2 linked regions of the Anolis sagrei genome follow. The protein of the gene in region 2 purifies or fractionates together with the protein of the main gene of each other region. This does not show direct contact. Links are inferred from orthologs where the notes say so. Each region holds a gene or a part of one and is shown on either strand. Other genes may lie near its edges.

Region 1 (8,014 bases), on a different chromosome or scaffold from region 2:
GCTTGAAAACCATTTCAGAACATCATTTTATTACTGACTCGTTGCACTGCCCCAAAGGCTTGGTCCCATAGCCAGGTCTTCACCATCCTTCTGAAGGACAGGAGGGAGGTGGCTGATCTAATATTGCCAGGAAGGGAGTTCCATAGCTAGGGGCAATCACTGAGAAGGCCCTGTTCTCTTGTCTCCGCCAAACACACCGGTGACGAGAGCACAGTCACAGGTGCATTTGACGAGGACGAAAGCAGGGCCTCCCCAGATCTTAGTCTTTGTAATGGTTCATAAAGGGAGATGCGTTCAGACAAGTAAATTGGAATTCAGAGTGCTCTTAGATTGCAGGTCAACTATAAATCCCAGTACCCAACTCCTATAAATAATGGTGATTTCTCCTCAAACCTCTCTAGTATGTTCAGTTGCTGACCAATTCCTCTGTTTGCTGTGTGCCATAGAAAAGAACTGTCGTTGTTTGTTGTTGTTCATTCGTTCAGTCATTTCCAACTCTTCATGGCCTCATGGACCAGCCCACGCCAGAGCTCCCTGTCGGCCATCACCACCCCCAGATTTTTCAAGGTCAATCCAGTCACTTCAAGGATCCCATCCATCCATCCTGTCCTTGGTCGGCCCCTCTTCCTTTTTCCTTCCATTTTCCCCAGCATCATTAGCTTCTCTAAGCTTTCCTTTCTTCTAATGATGAGGCCAAAGTACTTCATCTTTGCCTCTACTATCCTCCCCTCCAATGAGCAGCCGGGCTTTATTTCCTGAAGTATGGATGGGAAATAGATGGAGAAAACATGGAGGCAGTGACAGACTTTGTATTTCTAGGTGCAAAGATGACTGCAGACGCAGACTGCAGGCAGGAAATCAGGAGACGCTTACTTCTTGGGAGGAGAGCAATGACCAATCTTGATAAAATAGTGAAGAGTAGAGACATCACACTGGCAACAAAGATCCGCATAGTCAAAGCAATGGTATTCCCCATAGGCACCTACGGATGTGAGAGCTGGACAATAGGGAAGGCTGAGTGAAGGAAGAAGAATGTATCTCCTTCTATGTCCCACCTCAGAGTTTAAGATCTGCTGGGGATGCCCTGCTCTCGGCCCCACCTTTATCACAAGCGAGGCTGGTGGGGACGAGAGACAGGGCCTTCTCGGTGGTGGCCCCTCGCCTGTGGAATGAACTCCTGGGGGAGATTAGATCATCAACATCCCTCCTTTACTTTCAGAAGGAAGCTAAAAACCTGGATGTGGGACCAGGCCTTCGGGTAAGCTGGCAGATGGACAAAGATAACCAATGACGACCAGAGTAGGAAAGGATAATGATGATGCTAGATGGATCATGGACTATGAATTGGCGAACATGATGATTTTATTGCTGCTAGTATATTGTTTGATTGTTTTAATAAGTTATAATTGTTGACATTATATGGTAAATTTGTGTATTGTATATTGTACTGTATTTTATGAATTGTCAGGCATCGAATTGTGCCTTTTTTGTAAGCCGCCCTGAGTCCCCCCTAGGGGGTTGAGAAGGGCGGAGTAGAAGCACTCCAAATAAATTAATTGGAGGAAAGTGTTGAGAATGCCTTAGACCACGATAAGATCCAGTCAGTCCATACTTCAAGAAATAAAGCCCGACTGCTCACTGGAGGGAAGGATAGTAGAGGCCAAGATGAAGTGCTTTGGCCACATCATGAGAAGAAAGGAAAGCTTAGAGAAGACAATGATGCTGGGGGAAATGGAAGGAAAAAGGAAGAGGGGCCGACCAAGGGCAAGATGGATGGATGGTATCCTTGAAGTGACTGGATTGACCTTGAAGGAGCTGGGGGTGGTGACGGCCAACAGGGAGCTCTGGCGTGGGCTGGTCCATGAGGTCATGAAGAATTGGAAACGACTGAACGAATGAACAACAACAAACAACAACAATTCTTTTCTATGGCACACAGCAAACAGAGGAATTGATCAGCAACTGAACATACTAGAAAGGTTTGAGGAGAATTCACCATGATTTATAGGAGTTGGGTACTGGGATTTATAGTTGACCTGCAACCTAAGAGCACTCTGAACTCCAATTTACTTGTCTGAACGCATCTCCTTTTACAAACCATTACAAAGACTTAAGATCTTCTGGGGAGGCCCTGCTTTTGTTTCCGTCAAACGCACCTGTGGCTGTGCTCTCGTCACCGGTGCATTTGGATGGATGGGATCCTTGAAGTGACTGGATTGACCTTGAAGGTGCTGGGGGTGGTGACGGCCGACAGGGAGCTCTGGCGTGGACTGGTCCATGAGGTCACGAAGAGTCGGAAACGACTGAACGAATGAACAACAACAAATGGACTGGATAGATCTTCTCGCAGTCCAGAACATTCCTCCAACACCACAGTTCAAAAGCATCTGTCTTCCTTTGCTTATCCTTCCCTATGGTCCAGCTTTCAGAAAAGAATAGGAAAGGGTTAAGGGAGAGGCAGTGGGCGGGGTTAATCAAATTCCACACCAATGGAGAGAGTAAGAAACACTGGGATGTCTGTGGTGGAGGAAACACATGGAATCTTGGATGAAACTGTCCCCATATGAAAGCCTTCAATATGCATTTAATATGGTGACAACCTCAAAGCAATGATTCCCTGAGCCTTTAAGTGTTTTGGACTTCATTTCCCAGAAGCCCTCCCCATTGGCCACAGAAGCAAAGGCTTCTGGGAGTTGAAGTCCAAACCTCCCTGCTGTTGGGAATCACTGTGATAAAAGGATACTCCACCTGCACAAAATGAAGGGGATGCCAGTATTGTTATTTACAGTGATCCTGGCTCCCATCTCCCCCCAGCCACGCCCCTCTCACCAGTACAGGTGGCCACAGAGCCCAATCACTGCTTCCCTCGCAGGTTCCAGGCAGATATTGCATTCAAACGCGCTCCGGTCACGGTTTGACCCCTCCTGCTCCCCGTCCGGAACCCCCGGACCCGTCCCAGCCGCTGCAGCCGCCGCCATCTTCCGCCCTCACTTAAACTAAAGGAGGGGGGCGGGTGTTGTTGGAAACGCCCGCTCTTCGCCAATTGATCCTCTCGGCCGTCCGTCACGCCGTGCCGACATCTCATTGGGTGACGCCTCGGTCAATTGTGGCCTCTGGCGACGCGGATTGTGCACGTTCGAGGGAGTCCCGCCCACGGCGCTGTGTGGGGAGCATGAAACTTTTCTCATTGGCTGCGTGGGTTGACTCGCTGCTTTGTCATTGGCTGGGGAGTCTCAGCGGCCTGCCTTCGTCGTCCAGAGAGCAAAATATGATGTCATGTGACTAAAGGAAAAAGGGGGAGGGAATAGAAGAGGCGCGGCTTGATTGATTGGATCGTAAGCCTCTCATACGCCACGGAACAAGGGATGTCGGGGGTGGGGCTATCCTCTAAAGAGACGAAAGCAGTCGCCTGATTGGTCTACATGGACTCAGATTGGGGCGGGACTAAGCTTGATTGACGCGTCGGTGGCCCAATAGTGACACAAAGGGGTTGTTTTCGGTCGAATTGGTCTACATGGACTCAAATGGGAGCGGGACTAAGCTTGATTGACGCGTCGGTGGCCCAATAGTAACACAAAGGGGTTGTTTTCAGTCGAATTGGGAGCAATACTGAGCTGGACGCCTTTCCATGATAGCAAATAATCGAAGGAGGGGAAAGGGCATTTCCTGCCTTGGCCTGGATTTCTGATCAATTCCAGCTCCTTTAAAGCATACAGGCCCATTGGGCCTCTATGAGTAAAGGCTCTCCAGTGAGACTGTAGGGCATGCATGGGCCAACTTGGGTCCTCCAAGTGTTTAGGTGTTTTGGTGGGCAGGAAAAGAGATTTAGAGATGGGCTCAAAGCCAACCTTAAAAACTCTGAACTGGGAAGCCCTGGCCCTTGCACACTCCAGCTGGAAGTCGGCTGTGACCAGCAGTGCTGTAGAATTTTGAACAGGCACTAATGGAGGGCAAATGAGAGAAACATGCCAAGAGGAAGGTGCGTCAAGCTGATATCGAGCTAGAATTTGGAGGCTTCTGCCCAGGAGAGAGGAGCCCTTAGACCAGTGTTTCTCAACCTGGGGGTCGGGACCCCTGGAGGGGTTGCGAGGGGGTGTCAGAGGGGTCACCAAAGACCATCTGAAAACACAGTATTTTCTGTAGGTCATGGGAGATTCTGTGTGGGAAGTTTGGCCCAATTCAATCATTGGTAGGGTTCAGAATGCTCTTTGATTGTAGGTGAACTACAAATCCCAGCAACTACAACTTCCAAATGTCAAACTCTATATTCCCCAATTCCATCAGTGTTTGCATTTGGGCATATTGAGAAGTCGTGCCAAGTCTGGTCCAGATCCATCATTGTTTGAGTCCACAGTGTTCTCTGGATGTAGGTGAACTACAACTCCCAAACTCAAGGTCAATGCCCAACAAACCCTTCCAGTATTTTCTGCTGGTCATGGGAGTTCTGTGTGCCAAGTTTGACTCAATTCCATTGCTGGTAGAGTTCAGAATGCTCTTTGATTGTAGATGAACTATAAATCCCAGCAGCTACAACTCCCACAAGACAAAATCAATACCCTCTTCCAATCCCACCAGTATTCAAATTAGGGTGCATTGGGTATTTGTGCCAAATTTGGTCTAGTGAATGAAAATACATCCCGCACATCAGATATTTATATTACTATTCATAACAGCACCAAAATGGCAGTTATGAAGTAGCAACTAAACTAATTTTAGTTTGGGGGTCACCATAACATGAGGAAGTGTATTAAGGGGTCATGGCATTAGGAAGGTTGAGAACCACTGCCTTAGACTCACCAAAGAGAGTCCGAAACCCTTGACAAGTGAAAGAGGAGAAAGGCCCAGAATTTTCCCTGATTTTTCCCAAATAAATCTCACCAAGGTTGAAGAAAAGCCATCAAGGTTTATTTAGCGATCCAGCTGAAAAGGATGCAGAGCTGCGATCGTTCGCCAGCGGAGCATAAAGAAATACATTTGATACAGCCATATTTATAGTAAATTCAAAGTTGTAGAGTTCAAACTCCCCGCCCCGGCCTCCCTGCTGCCCTCCACTGTGATTGGACAACGGGCAAACAGCTGGGAGGTGGCCCTCCCGCCCCCGCGCCCCTGGACCAATCAGGAAGCTCCAACGGTCCGTAGGGTCCAATGGGGAGGCTCCTGCCATCTAGCGGCGATAGCAAATCAGGAAAGAGGGAGGCGGGATGATAGAACACAAAGGAATCTTGTGAATGAATTCTAAAAAAAATGCCATGTGGCCTGCGAGACAAAGAGGGAGTCTTAAGCAAGCCTGATCTTTTGTGTTTTGATTGGAATGAATCAACATGTGTAAAGGCAAGTCCGGATTTTACTAGCCAGCAAATATGAAGACAATGAGGGTGAAACTGGGGTGAATGTTCCTTAGTGGGAAGTTAGTTAAATCAACCAGTGCGAAGGTGGGGGCTTTTCGAGGGTCCCCTGACCTCCAGGTAGAAAAATGATTAGGGGTCTGCCAGGGGGCAAACAGCATTGTTGGGCAATCCTCCGAGAACAAAGCTGCCTGCCAGTTTATTTTTCATGCAAAGGAAATTGTGGATTGGGGTCTTTGGAATGTCTGGAGATCTGCAGTTTCCTGAGGGGATTTCTTCTTAAGGAAAGGGAAGGAAAAAAGGTCAAGGGAAGGCCACTAGTACAAAGGAAAATATGAAAATATATACATTTGATGTAGCAGAAACCATGTGCCTATAATTCATAACAGGAAAAGTCCATATAAGTCCAGTATGTTTTTGAAAGGGAAACAAAAGGGTTTATGGGGAATGATTAAAAGCATGAAATTCACGAGAAAAGGTCCAAAAGTTTTCACTGAGCCAGTCAAGGAAGTCCTGCAGCGTTGAGGTTGAGACTTGTCTTTGGCCCTTTGCAAGACTATAAGATATTATCTCTTATTGGGGGGGGGGGGGGGGGCATGCTCGGCTTCAAAGCCAACCTCGACGAGGACCGCCTTCCACCTGGAAACCAATGCCCTCACTATGGGAGAAGATGCAGATCAAGAATAGGACTCCACAGTCACCTACAGACCCACCGCCAGTACACCGATCTTGGAAGACAATCCTACTCAGACAATGAGGGATCGCCTAAGTTTGGACTTCAATTCTCACAATTCCTAACAGCCTACCTGCTGTAGAATCAGACAATGGCAAAGCTACTTTTTTGGACTACACTTCCCATATGCTTATCTTGCTGGGGGATTCTGTGAGATGCAACCCCAAAAGTATATTTTTCAATGTGTTTCAATGTGCCATTTATAGATGTCCTAGTCACCGGCAAAGCAAATCAACAATTGGATCACACAGCTTACAGAAAATCTACACACACGGATAGATACTTACATAAAAACTCCCAACTATCACCCAAGTCAAAAATGTAGCACCATTAAAGCCCTGGCAGACCATGCAAAAAGAATCTGCAAACGCCACCTCCTCCAAGAAGAACTGAACCACTTAAACTGGGCTTTACATGCCAATGGAGGCTCCACCACAGGCATCCGAAGAGCTGCAAGACCAAGAACCAGCCACGCGAGTAAAGACAAAGATCCACCCAGAGGAAAAGTTCTTGCCATACATCAAGGGAATCATTGACCGCACAGGGAAGCTGATGAGGAAACACAATCTACAAGCTATCTACAGATCCACTAACAAAATCCAACAAATGCTGCTTTCAGCAAAGGACAAGAGGGGCCCTCTCACCTCTGCAGGAGTCTACCGTATACCATGCAGCTGTGGACAAGTCTACACAGGGACCACCAAATGCAGCAGCATTGCCCAGACACAAATCAAGGAACATGAAAGGCACTGCAGACTACTTCAAACAGAGAAGTCAGCCATAGCAGAGCACCTGACAAACCAACCTGGACACAGCATATTATTTGAGAACACAGAAATGTTGGACCACTCTAAAAACACAAAGAAGCCATTGAAATCCACAAGCATGTGAACTTCCTTTCAACAGAAAGGAAAAATTAATATGAAAATGAACAAAATCTGGCTACCAGTATTAAAAAATTCTAAAATCATAACAGTAAATAAAGACCAGGGAGCTCCAGACAAGAAACAATCGGGGACAGCTAATCACCTCAACAAAGGATACTTCCGGGCAATAAAAGCCACACCTTGAAAACTGTTAGGCCATTAAATGGTAATCAAGGTGACGCACACCTACCTGCAACAGACAAAAGTTCTTTTTCCCACCCTGGACTTTCCACAGACATATAAACTCTATTTTCCTAGATTGTTGTAGGTTTTTCGGACTATGTGGCCATGGCCTAGAGGCATTCTCTCCTGACGTTTCGCCTCCATCTATGGCAAGCATCCTCAGAGATAGTGAGGCCTGTTGGAACTAGGAAAAGGGCTTATATATCTGTGGAATGACCAGGGTGAGACAAAGGACTCTTTGTCTGCTGCAGCTAGCTGTGAATGTTTCAACTGACCACCTTGATTAGCATATAATGGCCTGACAGTGCCTAGAGCAAACTTTTGTTGAGAGGTGATTAGATGTCCTTGTCTGTTTCCTCTCTGTTGTGCTGTTGTAATTTTAGAGTTTTTTAATATTGGTAGCCAGATTTTGTTCATTTTCATGGTTTCCTCATTTCTGTTGAAATTGTCCACATGCTTGTGTATTTCAATGGCTTCTCTGTGTAGTCTGACATGGTGGTTGTGAGCCCCTGAGAAGTCCTTCTGCCATCTTTAAGTGCCATTCCACTAGCCGATAAGTGGAAAGGACCCAGCCTACCAACCAAGCCCACTCCAACAGCCCCTGGGAGACAACTCCGAAATCTTTAACTACTATTCTACCAGCTAGTGAGTGGGAGGAAGCCAGCCCACCAACCAGGAACTCTCCAACAGTCCCTGGGAGCCCCTCTTTAACTGCCATTCCATCAGCAAGGGACCCTACCAAGCCCACTCCAATAGCCCCTGGGAGGCCATTCCGCCATCTTTAACTGCCATTCCACTGGCCGGTGAGTGGGAGGGACCCAGTCCGC
Region 2 (8,013 bases):
GCTTTGGTCCTTCCTGGAGGGCCATATCCAGAAGGTGATGCTGGGGGTCTCCTGTTCGATCCCCTGGCCATTGACCTGTGGGGTTCCTCAGGGTTCCATTCTGTCCCTCATTCTGTTCAACATATAAATGAAACCGCTGGGAGATGTCATCCGGAGTTTTGGTGTGCAGTGCCACCTATATGCGAATGACACCCAACTCTACTACTCCTTTCCACCTACAGCCAAGGGAGCTGTCCTGACCCTAAACCAGTGCCTGTTATCAGTAACGGTCTGGATGAGGGCAAACAAATTGAAGCTTAAACTAGACAAGACATAGATACTCCTGATCAATCGTAAGGCAGACCAGGGAATGGGGATCCAGCCTGTGATGGATGGGATCACAGTCCCCATGAAGACACGGGTTCACAGTCTGGGGGTCCTCCTGGACTTGGTATTGAACCTGGAGGCCCAGGTGTCAGCGGTGGCCAGGAGGGCCTTTGCACAATTAAAACTTGTGCGGCAATTGTGCCTGTCCCTTGGGAAGCCAGATCTCGCCACGGCAGTACATGCCTTAGTTACATCCCATCTGGATTACTGTAATGCAATCTATGTGGGGCTGCCTCTGAAGAGTGCTCAGAAACTTCAGCTAGTACAAAGAGCTGCAGCCAGGTTGCTAACTGGGACTGGCTACAGGGGCGGGCCAACTCCCCTGCTATAGCAGCTCCACTGACTGCTAGACTGTTTCCGGGCACAATTCAAAGTACTGGTTATTATCTTTAAAGTCCTAGACGGTTCAGGTCCAGGCTATTTGGCTGACCACATGCCTTGTATAAACTTGCTCGAGCCCTCAGATCTTCAGGAGAGGCCCTTCTCGGTCCCACCTCCATCTCAAGCTCAGTTGGTGGGAATGAGAGTGAGCCTTACTTCTCGGTGACTGCCCCTCAACTTTGGAACTCCCTTCTTCTTCTTCTTCTTCTTCTCAGGGAAGCCAGAATGGCCACCTCCCTGCTGTCCCTCTGTTCATACAGGCTTTTAAAGATGAAGGTGGTTAAGATCTAATCAGGGAATGCTATCGTTTTTAACTTTGAATATGTTTGATGGATTTTAACTGTGATTTTTAATACTGTTTGTCTTATTCTGTTTTAATGTTGGTATGTTTTAAATTGTGTACTAATGCTTTTATGTCTCTTTGAGTCTCTTTGGGAGAGATAAAGTGAGGTATAAATATAATAAGAGTAATAATGTTTAAATATTTGAAAAGATGTCACACTGAGGAGGGGGCAAGTTTGTTTTCTGTTATTTTAAAACAAGCATTGGCAAATTTGGGCCCTCCGGGTGTTTTGGACTTCAAAACATGTTCAGCTTGTGGGCTGCTAAAACACCCAGATCCCTTTTCTACCTACTAGTGCAATTAAAACCTACTTTCGTCTCTCCATTCCCCTGTCCAAATACAATACATGGCCTTCTCACCCAGTGTTTTTAAACTTTTAATCCTTGCTATCGGCCCTGCCCACTGTGGTTTATTCTCTGTGTTTAAATTATTGTGATTTTACATTGTTTATGTTTATTTATTTTGTTTCTTGATTTTATTTTATATTTTACTGTCGCTGTATGTTGTTTATTTGCATTGCTGTGCTGTTGGGCCTGGCCTCATGGAAGCCACCCCGAGTCCTCTTGGGGAGATGGTGGTGGGGTATAAATAAAGCTTATTATTATTATTATTATTATTATTATTATTATTAATTCAAATTAGAATCATAGAATCATAGAATCAAAGAGTTGGAAGAGACCTCATGGGCCATCCAGTCCAACCCCCTGCCAAGAAGCAGGAATATTGCATTCAAATCACCCCTGACAGATGGCCATCCAGCCTCTGCTTAAAAGCTTCCAAAGAAGGAGCCTCCACCACACTCCGGGGCAGAGAGTTCCACTGCTGAACGGCTCTCACAGTCAGGAAGTTCTTCCTCATGTTCAGATGGAATCTCCTCTCTTGTAGTTTGAAGCCATTGTTCCGCGTCCTAGTCTCCAAGGAAGCAGAAAACAAGCTTGCTCCCTCCTCCCTGTGGCTTCCTCTCACATATTTATACATGGCTATCATATCCCCTCTCAGCCTTCTCTTCTTCAGGCTAAACATGCCCAGCTCCTTAAGCCGCTCCTCATAGGGCTTGTTCTCCAGACCTTTTATCATTTTAGTCGCTCTCTCTGGACACATTCCAGCTTGTCAATATCTCTTTTGAATTGTGGTGCCCAGAATTGGACACAATATTCCAGATGTGGTCTAACCAAAACAGAATAGAGGGGTAGCATTACTTCCTTAGATCTAAACACTATGCTCCTATTGATGCAGGCCAAAATCCCATTGGCTTTTTTTGCCGCCACATCACATCACAAATTACAAGAAAATAAATTCCAGGTAAACATTAGGAAGAATTTAGGGAGATAGCTTGGCAGTGGAATATGTTGCCATGGAATGTGGTGAAGTCTCCTCCTCTGAAGGGGTTTCAATCAGAGACTGGCTGGTCATCTGTTGGGGGTGCTCTGATTGTGCCTTCCTGAGTGGCAAAATAGGGTTGAACTGGATGGCCTTTGGGGTCTCTCCCAACTCTGTGATTCTGTGGCAAAGTCTAATCATGTTCCTCTCCTGACACCATTCTGACACTCAGAAAAGAAAGAAACACCCCTCCAACTACGATTCCCAACGTGCAGGTGTCACAGACTACACTTCCCAAGACGCAACGCGCCAAGCCTCTATGTGTTTCTATGATCCAGGGCGCGCAATGCATGCCGGGACACGTAGTCCGGCGCGACCCTACCTGGAAGCGGTTGAGGAAAGCGTCGGGCCACAGGAAGAGATAGACGGGGCTGATGAGGCCTAGCTTGCCGAACAGGGGGACCGCGATGGAGCCGGCAAACCAGTAGCGGGTGATCAGCGGGATGCTCCGGAACCACTCGCCGAGATCCGACATCTCGCCGTCGCTGAGGCGAGGCCTTTCCTCCTGCCGCTGACACCGGGGCTGTCTCTTTCTATTGCGCATGCGCGATGTGTGGACAAGCCGTGGGATCCGCCTTCCTCCGAGGTGGCTGCACTGGATTCGGCCGGGTGAGGGCCACTTCCTGTTTCCGCCCTGCCATTGCTGGGCAACACAAACAAAAGTGAAAGGAGGCGGAAGTGACGTTTCGCCCAGGTCCATTTCTTAAAGGGACCAAGTAACTTTTTTTTTTTTGCTGCCAACCAACAGCAAACAAATAATGACAAAACAAAGTCATTAAAAATAAATAAAACATATCCCAATAAAGGTTGCAACCCTACTTATACATTAAAAGTTTGCTTACTTTTTCACTCCTGGAAGGCAATAAATTACAGAAGAAGGAAATTTAGGAAGCATTTAGTCTCCTTGTTGCAACTTTTATGTTTCACTTTATATTCTTATTTTACATTTTATATATATATATATATATATATATATATATATAATGTGTTATATTATTTTTATTTTATATTATATTTCATGTTAGACTTTTAAAGATAATTTTAGATATTATATATTTTAGATTATATTGCATATATATTATATTATATTCTTTTAGATTATATCTCATGTTACATTTTTTCTATGTATTTTAGATTGTATGTTATATTACTTTATTTTATTTTAATTGCATTTCATGTTAGATTATTTTAGAATATATATATTTATTTTATATTGTATGTGTTGTATTATTTTCTTTTTCTTTCAGATTATATTATTTTATTTTATTTTTTGAAAAGATTTTATTAAGTTTTAATAATAACACAACGAAAAAGTGAGAACAATAAAAATATAGGAAAGAGATGGAAAAAAGAGAAATAGGAGAGATATAAGAAAAAAAGAAAAAGGAAAAAAGAAAAAAAGTAGAAAAATAATAATAATAATGAAAAAAAATACAAAAACAAACAAAAAGTACTACCAAAAATTAAAAATACTACAAAAAATTTTAAAATGACTTCCTTTGCATCTTCTTGGTTAAAGTCTTTCTTTTATCAAAATCTGCTAATAAAAATATCTATTGTAGTCTCAATTTTTTGATGCTCTCCAGATATTGAAGAGGTCCCAATTTGTTCTTTTTAAAGTATTCCCGGTATTCTTTTTCAGCAAAAAAGTAAATTCATCCATATCTTTTATCTCTCTCATTTTATCTAACCACCCATCAATGGGCGGATTTAATTCTTGTTTCCATTCTCTCGCGAAAACAATTCTGGCGGCAGTCGTAATATATTTAAAGAGTTTGTCTTCTTCTGCATTTAGATTATATTATTCATGTCAGATTAATTTAAAATACTTTACATATATTTTATTTTAGATTATATTGTATGCTATATGATTATTATAGATTATATTTCATGTTAGATTATTTTTGATATACATATTCATTTTAGATTATATTGTATATTACATTATTTTCTTTTAGAATATTTTATATTTCATGTTAGATTATTATATATTTTATGTATATATAAAATGTTACATTATATATATATTAGATTACATCATATTTTATTTTTTCCCTTTAGATATTATTTCATATTATATTATTTTAGAGATATACTTTTATTTTAGATTATATTGTATGTTATATTATTATAGATTATATTTCATGTTAGATTATTTTTGATATACATATTCATTTTAGATTGTATTGTATATTACATTATTTTCTTTTAGAATATTTTATATTTCATGTTAGATTATTTTACATGTGTATATAAAATGTTACATTATATATATATATATATATATATATATATATATGATTACAACATATTTTTTCCTTTAGATATTATTTCATATTAGATTTTAGATATATGCTTTTATTTTAGATTATATTGTATATGCTATATTATTTTATTAGTTTAGATTATATTTCATTTCATGTTAGATTGTTAGATATTATATATTTTATTTCAAGTTTTATACGTTATATTATTTTTAGATTATATTTCCTTCTATATTTAGATATTAAATATTTTAGATTATATTGTATGTATGTATTTATTTATTTGTTGTGTCAGGGCAACCAGTCAATTATATGACATTTCTAACAGAACAAAGCAAACAAACAGACAAAATACAAAATTTGTGAGTTTGGTAGTTGGTTAAATGTCCTTTGACCAGTATCTGGCCACTTGGAGTGCTTCCGGTGTTGCTGCAAGAAGGTCCTCCATCGTGCATGTGGCAGGGCTCAGGTTGCATTGCACCAGGTGGTCAGTGGTTTGCTCCTCTCCACATTCGCATGTCAAGGATTCCACTTTGTAGCTCCATTTCTGAAGGTTGGTTCTGCATCTCGTGGTGCCAGAGTGCAGTCTGTTCAGCGCCTTCCAAGTCGCCCAGTCCTCTGTGTGCCCAGGGGGAAGTCTCCCATTTGGTATCAGCCATTGGTTGAGGTTCTGGGTTTGAGCCTGCCACTTTTGGACTCTTGCTTGCTGAGGTGTTCCAGTGAGTGTCTCTGTAGATCTTAGAAAACTATTTCTTGATTTAAGTCGTTGACGTGCTGCCTGATATCCAAACAAGGGATGAGCTGGAGATGTCTCTGCCTTGGTCCTTTCACTATTGGCTGCTACTTCCCGGCGGATATCAGGAGGTGCAATACCGGCTAAGCAGTGTAATTTCTCCAGTGGTGTAGGGCGCAAACACCCCGTGATAATGCGGCATGTCTCATTAAGAGCCACATCCACTGTTTTAGTGTAGTGAGATGTGTTCCACACTGGGCATGCGTACTCAGCAGCAGAGTAGTACAGCGCAAGGGCAGATGTCTTCACTGTATCTGGTTGTGATCCCTAGGTTGTGCCAGTCAGCTTCCTTATGATATTGTTTCTAGCACCCACTTTTTGCTTCATGTTCAGGCAGTGCTTCTTGTAGGTCAGAGCACGGTTCAGAGTGACTCGCAGGTATTTGGGTGTGTTGCAATACTCCAGTGGGATTTCTTCCCAGGTGATCTCAGAGCTCAGGATGCTTGTCTGTTCTTGAGATGAAAAGCACATGTCTGTGTTTTGGATGGGTTGGAGATCAGCTGGTTTTCCCTGTAATAGGCAGTAAGAGCACCCAGAGCTTCAGAAAGCTTCTGTTCTACCATCTCAAAGCTCCCTGCTTGAGCAGTAATGGCTCAAGCCATTACTGTATGTTATATTATTGTATTACTTTACCCATAATGTCTGGGAATCGCCAGAAGGCTAAACGGAGGGCTGCACAAACACAACAAGGACCAAGTACCAAAAGCACAATAATCCCAATTAAACAGCTCAAGGGAAGATCCCAGGGGCTCACATGTCTTTACACTAATGCACAGAGCATGGGAAATAAACAAGACGAACTCCAACTTCTAACACAACACCACAAATATGATATCATAGCCATCACTGAAACCTGGTGGGATGACTCCTATCACTGGAATGTAGATATCGAGGGGTATAACCTCTTTCACAGAAACCGAACAAAGGGGAGAGGAGGCGGAGTAGCCTTATATGTCAAAAACTCTTATGCTGCAGAAGAAATTCAAGACAGCAATCTAGGAAACCAGCTTGAAATCATCTGGATAAGAATCAAGGGAACTGGGACTCAAAAAGATGTCGTTGTAGGCGTCTACTACAGACCCCCAAGCCAGGAGGAAGATCTTGATGAAGTCTTCTGCCAACAGTTGACCAAACAGGCACAGAAAAGAGATGTAGTAGTCATGGGCGATTTCAACTATCCCGATATTTGCTGGAAAACAAACTCGGCCAAGAGTACAAGGTCCAACAAATTCCTCGCTTGCCTTGCAGACAATTTCATGGTCCAGAAGGTAGAAGAGGCAACAAGGGGATTGGCTACTCTTGATCTCATCCTAACAAATGCGGAGGACCTGATCGATGCGGTCGAAGTGGTAGGATCCTTAGGGGCAAGTGACCATGTGCTCCTGCAATTTGAGGTACAAAGGAAGGCCAAAACTAAGACAAGTCAAACCCGCATTTTGGACTTTAGGAGAGCTGATTTCCAAAAAATGAAGGAAACGCTGAGCAGCATTCCGTGGACACAGATACTAAAAGACAAGGGAGCTACGGATGGATGGGAATTTCTCAAGAGTGAAATACTCAAGGCGCAATTGCAAACCGTGCCAACAAAGAGAAAAAATAGGACAAGTGCAAAGAAGCCAGAATGGATGTCCAAAGAACTTCTAACTGTACTAAGACACAAAAGGGACATGCACAAGAAGTGGAAAAAGGGAGAAATCACCAAAGAAGAATTCAAACAAATAGCCAACACCTGTAGGGAAAAGGTCCGCAAGGCTAAAGCAAAAAACGAGCTCAGACTTGCCAGGGACATTAAAAACAATAAAAAGGGCTTCTATTCTTATGTCAGTAGAAAAAGGAAAAACAAGGAGGCGATAGGACCTCTTCGAGGAGAAGATGGGGCAATGCTGACAGGGGATAGGGAAAAGGCAGAACTACTTAATGCCTTCTTTGCCTCGGTCTTCTCACAAAAAGAGAGTCTTCAACCACAGCAAGATGGAGTGGATGAGGGATTGGAGGACATCCAACCCCAAATTGGGAAAGAAGTCGTCCAGGAATACCTGGCCGCTCTTAATGAGTTCAAGTCCCCAGGGCCAGATCAACTACACCCAAGAGTATTGAAGGAACTAGCGGAAGTCATTTCGGAACCATTGGCAACCATCTTTGAGAGTTCTTGGAGAACGGGAGAAGTTCCAGCAGATTGGAGGAGGGCCAATGTGGTCCCAATCTTCAAGAAGGGAAAAAAAGACGACCCAAACAACTACCGACCGGTCAGCCTCACGTCGATACCGGGCAAAATTCTGGAAAAGATTGTTAAGGAAGCGGTCTGCAAACACTTAGAAACAAATGCAGTCATCGCTAATAGTCAACATGGATTTATCAAAAACAAATCATGCCAGACTAATCTGATCTCTTTCTTCGATAGAGCTACAAGCTGGGTAGATGCGGGGAATGCCGTGGATGTAGCGTACCTGGATTTCAGTAAGGCCTTCGACAAGGTCCCCCATGAC

The links.
Region 1: the proteins of DERL1 (region 2) and RNF5 purify together in Homo sapiens (affinity purification with western blotting; 4 studies listed by BioGRID and IntAct, with this or other methods). This does not show direct contact. The link is inferred for Anolis sagrei from reciprocal best matches to the Homo sapiens genes DERL1 and RNF5.

Annotation. Positions count from the first base shown.
Region 1 is NC_090022.1:16,616,968-16,624,981, forward strand, and holds the start of RNF5 (E3 ubiquitin-protein ligase RNF5), read right to left. Parts: upstream 3,017-8,014; 5' UTR 2,979-3,016; coding exon 2,830-2,978; intron 1-2,829. UniProt on the Homo sapiens protein: Membrane-bound E3 ubiquitin-protein ligase that mediates ubiquitination of target proteins. May function together with E2 ubiquitin-conjugating enzymes UBE2D1/UBCH5A and UBE2D2/UBC4.
Region 2 is NC_090024.1:20,605,926-20,613,938, reverse strand, and holds the start of DERL1 (derlin-1), read right to left. Parts: upstream 3,015-8,013; coding exon 2,793-3,014; intron 1-2,792. UniProt on the Homo sapiens protein: Functional component of endoplasmic reticulum-associated degradation (ERAD) for misfolded lumenal proteins. Forms homotetramers which encircle a large channel traversing the endoplasmic reticulum (ER) membrane.